Linked DNA regions of Caenorhabditis elegans. The protein of the gene in region 1 interacts with the protein of each later gene in a pairwise test. Each region holds a gene or a part of one and is shown on either strand. Other genes may lie near its edges.

Region 1 (7,008 bases):
ATTGTATCGTGGGAATATGTTCAAACTGAGAAGGAGAGTACAACAAAATGCCAATATTATCACTCACATAAAACTCATGTTGACTTTCTCTGGTTTTGACGTCTTTCTATTTACAATTACTAGACAATTAGAAAGAAAGAGACCTCTGGATTTTTAATTTTAAAAATTCAAATTCTCATAATAGACAGCATTTGTTTTTTTGTGAAGTTTTTTCCCAACAAAAGATGTACGCGGAACGTTTTCACAAATTGACATTGTTTTGTTTTCCCTAAAACCATTAACTTCCGACATGTCTCTGTTGGCTTTTCTTCTAGTCACCATCAAGACGACATAACATTTCAATGTATAAAATGGAATTAACAAATTTTATTGAAACTTCAATTTTCTCTTGTAGTTTTGTATCAAAGTGCCTAACTTTGTTTCAAAAAATTTCCACACTAACATTCAATCAAAGGTATTTTTAAACTTCGAGCTAGAAGTTTGTATTTTTGTTTCAAAATACATCATCTTACTTTATTCTTTTCTAGTTGCAAAATCCTAAAGTTCAAATGATGCATAATTGAGTGTATGCTTGTTCAGTTTTGCTGCATATTACCAAAACTAATTATGCTTCTGATTGTTTTAAGGTTACAACACTTTGAATTTGCGTCAATTGTTTTACAATTCTTTATATAGATTTTTAATTGAGTTAAAAATCACCGACTTCCGTTTTAAAATGCCCCTATTCTTACAAAAATTTTAAATTGAATTATCCGCACAATTTATTGTGTGCCATGCCTGTTTATATTACCAAACTGTCATATTTTCTTATGCACTGTAATTTTAACAATGTAAAGTTTTTCACTCGACGTACTATTTTTTTTTGAATTGCAGTAAATTTTGCAATATTTTTGTTTTTGAAAAACTGGCAACCTGAGGAAAACGGAACTGTTTTGTAACTTCAAAGAAGCAATTTTAGAAATTTGCAAAAGTCTGAATTCTAAAATTCTAGTTCAAATCCTTGTGATGTATAAATTATCCTGTCATCTTGGAGATTTTGGATAACATTTTGAATGTATCAAAATGTTAGAATCTGGTTTCTCGTGAAAAATTAAATTTCATTACATCTCAGAATGTTTCACGATTTTGATCTACATCTAATATATATAACAGGTAAACTTGTTCAAAAATTGATTTTATAATAGTTTATATTATGGGCAGCCCGTGAAGCTTGAAATGAGTAATTTAAAAAAATAAATCCGCTGCACGTTTAGCTTAATACTTGAAAAAAAGTTGAACAGTTCTATCTCATCAAATACATCTTTAATCTCTTTTTTTTTGACTTTTGCTTTGTTGCCATAAAGCTATTTCAAAATTGTACCATATGGCAAATGAATGCTTTTAAGGTTTGTTGTTGAACAAGAATATTCGTTAGCCCTCTTTTCGGAAATGTATGCGCTTACATATGATCTTTCAAAACTCCGCCTCTTTTCTGTCTGCGCCATAGCTTCTCTGTGCTCTCTTTTCTACAGTCAAATGTCTTATGCTCATTTTTTTTCAGTTGTGGATCTTGATGTCTCCTCCTTTCCGTTCTCTCGATTTTATTTTTTGCTATTCTTTGGAAAGGCGTCAATTTATTATAGGCAACGCGTGAGCTAAATTTTGAACTTTAGTATAAAAAAAGCGACGAAACAATGCGATACAAAAGCTTGTTCTCATTTACAAAACTGACATTTTACGTAGAGACTCAAGTCTTGGCAAAATTTTAATCACACGAAATTTTATAAAAGTCTGAAAAAAGCTGTGAATAATTTAGATAGCCTCGAACACATGCAGAAGTGTGCAAAACTGATAGAATGCTAATATAATGTTTGAAAATTTTTAACAGTGTGTACCTAGATTTAGTCACTAAAGTATGTGCTATGTTACAATTCTTCTATTTTTTTTTCATATATCCTTTTATTCACTGGTGGGCCATAAAAATATATCTCAGATTGATCATATTTAAATCTCAAACGATGGAAGCCAATTCTAACAGAATAAGCTTTGTGAACCCAACTCAGACCCCACAATACGGTTTAAATGAAGAATTCAAAGGAGATCCACAGTCAACGATTAAAAGTCCAGAAACGCGGGTATGTTTTTTTTCAATCTTTTGAGAGATATAAACTGTGCTTGTTTTAAAGTAAATGGAAAAAATATGAGACATGGTCTTGCGAGCATTTTTTGTTTTTGCCAGTTTAGTGGGGATGAATGTTTACCACTGTCCTTAATTTTGTGACAGATGTTCTTCCTCGTACCGCACCGGCACGAGCACTGGCCGGTGTTTTTTTTTCAAAATCTCCACTCACACTAAAACATGAATAACACCAGTTGCTTTTGTTGATTAATGCTCGATTTTCAAGTTATGCAAAAAAAAAAATTAAGGGACTTAATGAAAATGCGTGCAATGAAAATGAAAGAGTATTTTGCTGTGCTCACATGGAGATACAGAATATCATTGGTTCATCCTCACCCAAAAATTTAAAAATTTTTAATTTATAATATTTTGAGTGGATTTCCAGCTTCCTGCCAAGTATGAACGTTTTGCTCCACAGATGACTACATACTACACATTCCCTCCAGCGAACCCGGCGTTTTTCTCGCAACCGATGTATCCCCAAAGTTCGTGGATTCCGGAAACTCAAAATCCTTTAGTGTATTTTCAAGGTGCTCCCGTGGTGCAGGTAATTTAAACCAGATAATTATAAATTTAAATGTTGTTTCATGTTTGAATTCAGGATTATTCTACATTTTCATCAGCCCCATACCCATCTCAACCACCCAATAATTGGAATGTTCAGGTTCGGACTTTTATTGACACATTTCGAAATTAAAATGTTACAGAATTTTACAAGCTACCAATATGCAAACCAAAATCACCCAGCACAACTGCCACATCAAAAATACTACAATTCCGAGCAATATGCTTTACAAAGTCAGGTAAAAATCAGAATTTCAATTGAGAACAATTACGTGGCATTCCACATTTTTTAAACCTACCATAATCAGACCATGGACGGAAAATTTATTCAGCCATGTAATCAATACCAAATGAACAAGTTGTGTTGTGTATCTCCTCCTTATCAGTACCAACCAAGGACTCCAAATGCTCAAAGCTCGCCGAACCTGAAGGACCTGAATTATTTGGATGTAAGAAAGAAGTTTAATGTTTTACAATTAAATTGAATACGTTCAGTAAAAAAGTAGTGATTTTGGAAGTTATTGTAATAAAAAAAATAGGTCGGAATGAAAAATATAAAAGGTTGACTCAGAAAACTCGAAAGCTGATGCTCACTTAAAAAAAATCGGAATTTTCCTGCAATCGGCAATTTTGGCAATTGTCAGTTTTCAAATATTTTGGCAATTTTGGCGATTGTCGGTTTTCAAATATTTCGGCAATCGGGGATTCCGAAAATTGCCGAAATTGCTGATTGCCGGACATTTTCGGCAATTTTCAAACATAATTATAACTCAAAAAATGAAAAAAAAAATCACCTTGTTAGTATTTGGTTAGTCATTTTCTAATAGATAACGGCCAAAACTTTCAGGATTTAAACATTTTAAGCTTGAAAAGAAAACATCTTCTTTTAAATGCATGTTTAGACTCAAAAATTTACAAAACGTATTAAATTTATGTTCCCGGCAATTCTGGCTTCCGGCAATCGGTAATTCCGACAATTGCCGGTTTTCAACATTTTCGGCAATCGGCAATTGCGGCAATTGCCAAAACTGCCGAAATTGGCGAAAATTCGATTGCCAAACGACAATTGCCGCCACCTCTGTTTCAAATGTAATTTTGCCCTTTCCGTAAAAAAATAATCAATACGTTCATTGTTCATCTCTCCTTGAGATCGTAACAAAACTACCTAAGTGAAATATAATTTTATTTAAATTTTAACTAGTGTCAAAAAAAAAAATTTCATGAAAATCTTAATCATCTTTACAGCATTTGACTCCGTTTTTATTCCCACCGGACATTACTTCTCAATACAGAAAACATAATTGCCGAGGAAACAACCGTAACTCCAAGGTATCAATATTGATTTATTTCATTTTTGAATTGAGTTATTTAGACTAGCAATTTCCGGAGAAACGACAGGAAAAACCAACATGGCCATAACCAAAACCGTTCAAATCAAGTATCCAGACAGCATTTGCCAAACAATAATGCATCATCTTCATCCTCCTCATCAGGTGTCGTTTCCGAATTACCGCTGTCTCCTAACAAGACTGAGCTTAAAATTGTCATATCTCATGGAAATGAAACAGTTTGTGTTCTGAAAACAAAAGGTAACAAGAGTCCGATACAATTTTTTTCTGTTTTTAAATTCATCTCTCGTTCAGATATTGATGGATGCAACGCTCAACAACTTTCGAATGTTGTTGAAATTCCTATGGTACTTGCTCCCTCCCTCTCAATACAATCTACTGACTCGTTCAACTCGGCTTACGAAGATGCCGAAGAATCTTTAATTCAACCACAAACTAAAAAGAATGAAGGTGACGCTTATGGAAAATATAATTCAACGCTCACAAATTGTCAAACAAGGAACCAATCGGAGAAAATGAAATCATCGCAATGCTTGATCGCAGATGTCGCCGAGAATGAGAGCCCGAATGAGACAGGGCCTGCTGAATTCAATATTTTTTGTACTGTACCGGAACAATCTTCTAAACGCTCAGAGCCCGACGTTATAGTTTCTGCTGCAAAATCAGTTACTGAAGTTGAAAATACAATACTTGCTGAACATGATACCGCTACTGCTGAAAACTTTTCGAACAACGATGAACCAATTCTTCTTAGCGTTACTAATCTTCACGATGAAACAAATAACAAATCAATAGATGTATCACTGAATCACCCATTGCCACCTTCGACAGAAACTGGAGTTGTCAGCGGCAAAGTTTCACAATTGGAGGCACCAATCAGTACAATTGTGCAGGAAACGATCCGAATCCTCGCCGAGAGAAATCTACTCCGTGACATCAATGACTTTCATCAAGAAATACATTTGAATGTCATGCAAGAAAATATTGGACAGTCTCTAGATCATGCTGCAATAGAAAATGAGGAACATCCAGAAACTGAAAGTTCCTTTGAAAGTTCAAGCGGGTAAGTTTTTTTAAAATGAAATTTCTTACGAATATTATGATACTCCAGTAGTTCCAACCCTTCTGTCCCCATTGAGATTGATCAAAAAATGCAATTCAACAAAAACAATCCATGGGAAAAATTGGAACAATATACTCCGTGAGTTTACAATAAATATTAATTGAAAACAAATTATTATTTTTGACATTCATGAAATTCAATTTAAGTTCTGAGTTCAACCGCCATTGTCATTAAAATTTCAGACCTTCAATCATTATAGTCTCGTGCGCAGATTCTTCACAAAGCCCACACAAAGCTTCGTAAGTTGACAACGGAAGTATTTTTTATAATGCACATCATGTTTTAGAACTCTCAAAAACCCCGGTTACGGCTGCTGTTCGGGCATTGGCAAGAAATCAAAATACAATAAGAAAGTTGACAAGAAAGAGTGAGTTGAACTAATGTGAAGAATGGTAAACTTGCATACAAACCAGACTTTTAGTCCTGAAAACGATGTTACAAGAATAACATAGGCATAGCTGTTTCGGAGTAAACCCCGGCCCTGATACTGAATAGGAACTAAAAAAAATATTTTACTTATTCACTCATTTGTTACTGAATCATTAACACTTATTAAAAAACCACCTGATCATGAGAATGCATACCGTTCTGGCGCGCGAATATCTCGTAGCGAAGGCACCTAAATCTTACATTTTTGAATGATATCTCGTTGCCGCTTTTTTTTTTCAGAAAATAGGCATTCTCATGAATTCGTGGTTTTTTAATAATTAATCATTCAAATGTGGCGAAAACATCTTGATAGTTTTTTCCTTTTTTTCCTGGGCAGTTATGTTGTCTGTGTACTCTACAGGTTCACTTCTCTCTACAGGCTCACAGGCCATTCTCGAGGGAAAACCTGTCAAGATGTTGTAACGTAGAAATTGAATGTATCAACTATGTTGGTGTAATAACTACTAACTAGCATAGTTGGTACATCATCAATCTTTATGACGTTGGTCGGAAGGATTCATGGCACTACTGATTTGACGTGAAAGTGGATAACGGGACTGAAAATAAATTTTACAGAGTTCTCCACTTGACAAACTTTCAACTAAACTAAGCAACGGAGCTGTGCGTTTCATTCTATCTGTTTTTGTGTTTTTTAGCTCATTCTCATTTTCCTGTATTCTTCAATTACTTTGTTTGTATAATTTTCGTTTAGCAAAATTTGGAATCCCAGTTCGAAATCCGGCCACACAAATCTTCTCTTCAACATTATGTGTATTCAACAGCAACCTTTCCATGTTTTCTCTTGAATATCAACTTTTTACGGTCAAAGTTGATCAAAATAAAATGTATCTTCTTGTGGATTTTTTATGAGCCCGAGTAGACTGTTTGAAAAAAACCTGTTTATTCACATTTGAATTCCACAGAGATCAAAAATCAATTATTATTTGTGGATACTCCTTTTTCCGCATCATTCAATTCTTCAGCTCGTAATAATTCCGTTTTCTGCCTCCATCTTCTTGGCTTACATGCAATTCCAAGAGTTCGGACAGCGAAGAATAAAAACTCAATCACGCTCATAATGCTTGCGCCTGAAAAATTCACTTTTTGAATTGCGAGTTACTCAAATTGTTTAAAATCACCTAAAAACAAGCCAGCTTGGCCACCCATATCGGCCATCAAGTTGAACCAAGAATACGACTCAGATTCTCTCAATATCTCATAGCTCATTTGTTCATAATAAATTTCAATCATTGCGGCGTGTTCTCTGAAAATCGATTTTTTGTCATTAACTGTCAACTAATTTATTTGAGAATAAATGTATTTTAGAAACAAAACCATTTTTCAAGTTACATGTTATATCCAAAAATTCTTTAAAAAAATGTTTT
Region 2 (4,969 bases), on another chromosome or scaffold:
GGCGTAATCTCCTATGACTGGAGTTTGTACAGGTATTTATCGAATTTTGGAACATAAAATTCAAAAATAATGACCGAAATGCCACATTTATTCTGACAATATTTGAATCAAAAAACACTCACGGCACAATATCCAATCCAGCAAAAAATTGTGCAACATGATGGTCAGAAGCCTGCCATGGTAATCCACGGGCTCTACATACAACATTGTCTCCGTCGGCGCCGACTTCTTGATCTTCCAGAATCGGTGCAGGCTGGTATTCGATATTCACAAATTGATGGGTTTTCTCGAGAAGTTCTGAAAATAAACATGATCTTATTTAATTTGTAATATATTCCGATGGATTTCAATTTTCATTCCCAAATTGATCCCTTTCTATTTCCCGTCAATATCCTTATCTCATCAATTTCCTACGTAGGTATACTACATATGAACTGTTCGAAAACCGAATTTTTAACCACAAAAAATTGCCAAAACTTCCTCGTTTTTTCACTTGTCCTTCCTATTTCTCTTCATATTTTACCATAGAAACGGACCGTCTCTTCCACATGTTTGCCCTCCTTTGTGCGCGCGGTGAGCCATAGAGCCATCATCCATTCGGACACCTTGACTGGTACGCACTGTTTACATTCTATGGAAAAATATATCACAAGAGACCCGAATGGTGATTGAGAGAAAGTGTGGGAAGGTGAGAAGTAGAGAAAACAAGATGATCAGGAGAACCTTTAATGTAAAATACATACATAGGAACATTTGAATTTTGCCAACATCTATCAATTTATTTGGACATCATTAATATTTTAAGAAAAACTTGAAATTTTGTTCAAATGCCCCTGATCCCTACTAGCCATGTTGCATCGAACATTCTTCGCAAAATCTTATTTTGTCTTGAAACAATAATTTATGTGTAAAGTCACAGAATCCCATACCGAGTCATTATCCCAAGATCACCCACTTGTATTTTTTCCCATTCAATATCTCACACAATAGAAAACCCCATTCCAAAAAGAAAATGGTGAAGGCAAAAGAAGAGACAAACACGGGCGGTGTGGCCCTTGAAAGGACACCAAAAAGGTGACAGGTCCTTCCCGCTTTGAAACCATTCATCACAGCAGTAGGGCATTCTTTTACCACCATATCTATCTTATCCAGAATCATCGAAGCAAGTAATCAAACTACAAACGATGGATATAGGAATGCAACTCAAAAATAACATCAATTACTTGAATTAATAATAGTCAAATAATTTTCAATGTAAGAGCAATCATTGCTGTATGTGATTTAATGTCATAATTTTTTTCTAAATTAGTGGCTCTGAACACTTCAAATTTTAATAGGTTTTCGCCTAAATCGATTTTATGAAACACATACCGTCATCCATATCCAAAATGGCCCTGGCAATTGCTACGTCATCTTCAATTTCTTCTTGTTCCATACCATCTTCTTCTTGATTACCGTAATACAAATGTTTGATATCATAATAATGATGAAGTGGATGTGGAACACAAAGTTCGTTTCTCGCGAACAATGGTATGAGCACATGTCTGATTGGTTCTGGACCTTTTGTGAATATATATGATGAGGTTGGATGCTCGTCGAAAAATTTGACGACATCTTCAGGAGTTATATTTACAAGACGAGTTGATATTTCAGATCCGGATGAGGAGGCCGATGATGGTGATGTGCTATTATTATTGGCATCCTCCTGACGGCGTGGGTAGAATGAGGTGACGACTAGTTTTGTGTTCTCATCGTAGTTTCCGTCAGATACTCGTATGAGTAGTAGTCGTTGTTCTGAAGTTATCATGTTGCAGGTAGGAATTTTTTAAAGAATTTATTTTTGAAAAACTTTGTATATTTAATTTTTTAAAAATCTAGAAAATTGAAATAATAGTCTGGCAAAACATATTGAACGGTATCTGAAACTTGAATAATAAAATTAAAATTTTAGAAAATTGCGGATTCCTAAAATGTTTCCAGTTCAATTCAAATAAGATTTCAAATTTTCCTCGATTTTAATTAAGCTTCTCCTCCGCCATGGTCACCTCGGCGCCCATTGTGCCACGTCATTTTCAAAACAAAAGGAGCAGTTTCGATAGAATTACGTAAACAAACAAAATTGGGTTGACCTGTGTAGTATAAACACTTCGTGTCTCGATTGTGGGAGACATTGTGAGAAACAAGACACCCCCGACTGTCACACAGTGCTTCCGGGATTGATGAGCTTGACCTACTAATTTATTACAGAGTTTCAATAAAAGTGAAATCGAGATGGGGTGTCAGACTCATTATTTGAAGAGGAAAATAAATTAAATTATTTGATGTTTCATTTTTTAATTTAAGAATAGATAAAGAGTTTTCGAAAATGCACAAACAATTGAAAAAGCATTGTACTTATCCAATTAACTTGATAGTTTGAGGTTTTTTGTACTGGAAATTTGTTTTTGGAGGTTTCAAAAATTATCCATGAAAAACTTGAAAATCATACTCATTTCTGTAACAAAAAAGCAAGCAGCTAATTTTCTAGTCCCTCGAAATTTAAAAATTTGCTGTTTTATTTTTTAGAACTTCAAAATTAGAATCATCTAAGCTCATGTTCTACTTCTACATTCAGAACATTCAAAATCCAAATTAATTTATCTCTGAATGTCGTATCAATAGTTGGTATTTTCATTCCTGTTAACCTATCGTACTAGTATCTCATACGATAAAGATGATAAAGATAGTATATTTCAATGCCAAATTTTTTGGCAACTTGGGAATGAGGTGAGATTGGAACTTCGGACAACTGTTGTGCTGGTTTTCAATTTAAGATATTTAAATATTAATTTAAATAAAAAAACAACTTGCCTGGATGAGACGTTTGCCGATTCATCAATGTAGGGAATCGTCAGTGCGTCCTTGGGTACATACGCAAACCAACGGGGTTGGTGAGGCTGCTGACCGTCGAGACGTCGACCCGCCACCCGCGCAGCAGCCGACAATGAGACCGCCCCTTTTGCGACGAACTCACTTTTTCGAACACTGCAAGAATTGAGAGAATGAATATATCGAGAATGTGTGGAAAATGATGGAGAACATTCGGATGAAGAAAAAAAACTTATGAAAATGAAATCGAGATATAGTTAGGGCTGCTAGTTGTACCGACTTGGAAGCCTTTGACTGGTTTGACTCAAAGCTTTTCCTAAGGATTTTCCAAACTTTTGATTGATAGTCAGACAACATCAAAAACACAAGGTTCTAATCATTTTGAAAAAAACAACAAAAAAAACATTAAGTTTTATAGACACAAGCAGCGAATAACACAAGCCGTAAATGTGGACCCATTTTTACTTCAGAAAATTTAGAATTCCACGAATTTTTACTACCGTATTCCTATCATTAGCTTCAGTATGGCAAAATTCTAACGAAAACTGGTTCATTACTTTTTTCAAATGTTTCTGAGAATTATTTTTGGAAATTGTGAAATAAGTTATTCTGTGGGTTGTCAAAGAAACGGGGAGTACAACTTATAAAGGAAATACGGTAGCTTTAACATTTTTTATGTTTTAGACATCCAATTTAAAATTACTCAGGGTCAATCAAAAGAAGTAGTTTTTGGGATAGCGATCACGGTACTTTATTTTAACTTTCAATGCCCAAAAATTTCCAAAACTTTAACATTGAGATCTTTTTTCAAGTTCATTTTGATCGACGGAATCCAATGAGCTATGTTTTTCGATACAATTCTCAAAACCCAACAAATGTTCGCTATCCAACACATATCTAGCTGTCAACAAGAACCCGCAAAAACCCAAATACCACTTCGAATTAAGATTAAGATAGGGATGTTTAGAGGTGAAGGTTAAATGTAGATGGGCAATAGAAGACGTGTTTACCGGCGTGAGGTAAAACTGAGAAAATACGCATGCAAAGAAATATATTCGATAGAAAGAGAGAATATGGGGGAAACTATTTGATATTTGCTCAAATGATTAACCTTCTAATCTCGTTCACTCCAAATTCTTTGCACTTTGTTTTTGTGACAAAATTGTGAGAAGCTCAGCTGATAAGCTGAGAAGCTGTCACATGATTTTGAAAACCGATTCCTAGAAAAAAGTGAAGCTGTAATTGAAATTTTTAACGATATCAGATTTTGAGGACAACTGATAAATTGATCGTCAAAATCATTTACTACATTACAATTACATTTTTAGAATTCAATTTTTAAAGGTTTTACTTGAATCACTTCTCTAAAAATAAAACTTCTTAGTTTCCCTCCGAATTTCAGCAAAAACCTCTAATCCAGAACCCACGTGTTCCACTTCGACTTCCTTCTGTTTTGGTTTCTTTGTCATCTAAGTCTCTTCTCAAATCTTGTTTCCATCACCACCCGCTCAGAAAATGACCTCATTTTTCGAGGACGTGACGGAAGGGAAGATCAGAGACCTTCAGAAGACAATCTAAACTTGTGAAATACTATGAACGTCGAAGAGATTTGAGACTGTGTTTGGAAGTGAGAAGACGATGAAAAAAGATGATGACGGAAAAACCGCTGAATGGTAACTGGGTAATTGGGATTGAAACAGTTTTTTTTTCTCGTCTAATTTGACAATTAATTAGGAAATGAGAACATTTTTTTCAGAACACAGACAACTTTGGAAGACAAACTTCTAGTAAGTCCTTATACAAACGTGTCTAGTGGTGCTCTGAGAAAAGAAAAGGCCTGAAAGACGAAAAATTCATAAAATCCCAAACTAAACGTATTGAGAGCAACTGCTTCAGAGCAAGAACGTGGAATTCGTTTGGATTGCACAATATACCTTAGACGAGTAACCCATGAGTTCCAACATTATTTGGAACTTCTTGACTGTCTCTTTTTTGCTTCAAAAAATATAATTTATAAATACAAAAACTGGGAGCATCGATATAAACTTTAAATCTCGAGTAGCACACTTAAATTTATAGCGAGACCCATGCACAGCTGTGT

What was found. Proteins that work in one complex are often made in the same cells at the same time.
Region 2: the proteins of E02H4.2 (region 1) and sym-2 interact in a two-hybrid assay, tested with the Caenorhabditis elegans proteins (one large-scale study listed by BioGRID).

What each region holds. Positions count from the first base shown.
Region 1 is NC_003284.9:14,276,589-14,283,596, reverse strand, and holds E02H4.2 (MIF4G domain-containing protein), read left to right. Parts: upstream 1-1,970; 5' UTR 1,971-1,997; coding exon 1,998-2,114; intron 2,115-2,543; coding exon 2,544-2,705; intron 2,706-2,759; coding exon 2,760-2,822; intron 2,823-2,865; coding exon 2,866-2,961; intron 2,962-3,054; coding exon 3,055-3,171; intron 3,172-3,967; coding exon 3,968-4,051; intron 4,052-4,094; coding exon 4,095-4,311; intron 4,312-4,365; coding exon 4,366-5,134; intron 5,135-5,182; coding exon 5,183-5,272; intron 5,273-5,376; coding exon 5,377-5,433; intron 5,434-5,480; coding exon 5,481-5,561; intron 5,562-6,199; coding exon 6,200-6,233; 3' UTR 6,234-6,475; downstream 6,476-7,008. Other genes in the region: Degenerin del-1, read right to left, coding at 6,557-6,711, 6,763-6,887.
Region 2 is NC_003280.10:9,185,457-9,190,425, forward strand, and holds the start of sym-2 (RNA-binding protein sym-2), read right to left. Parts: upstream 2,876-4,969; coding exon 2,851-2,875; intron 1,795-2,850; coding exon 1,372-1,794; intron 298-1,371; coding exon 123-297; intron 1-122. Other genes in the region: twk-4 (Potassium channel domain-containing protein), read right to left, coding at 1,764-1,794, 2,851-3,024.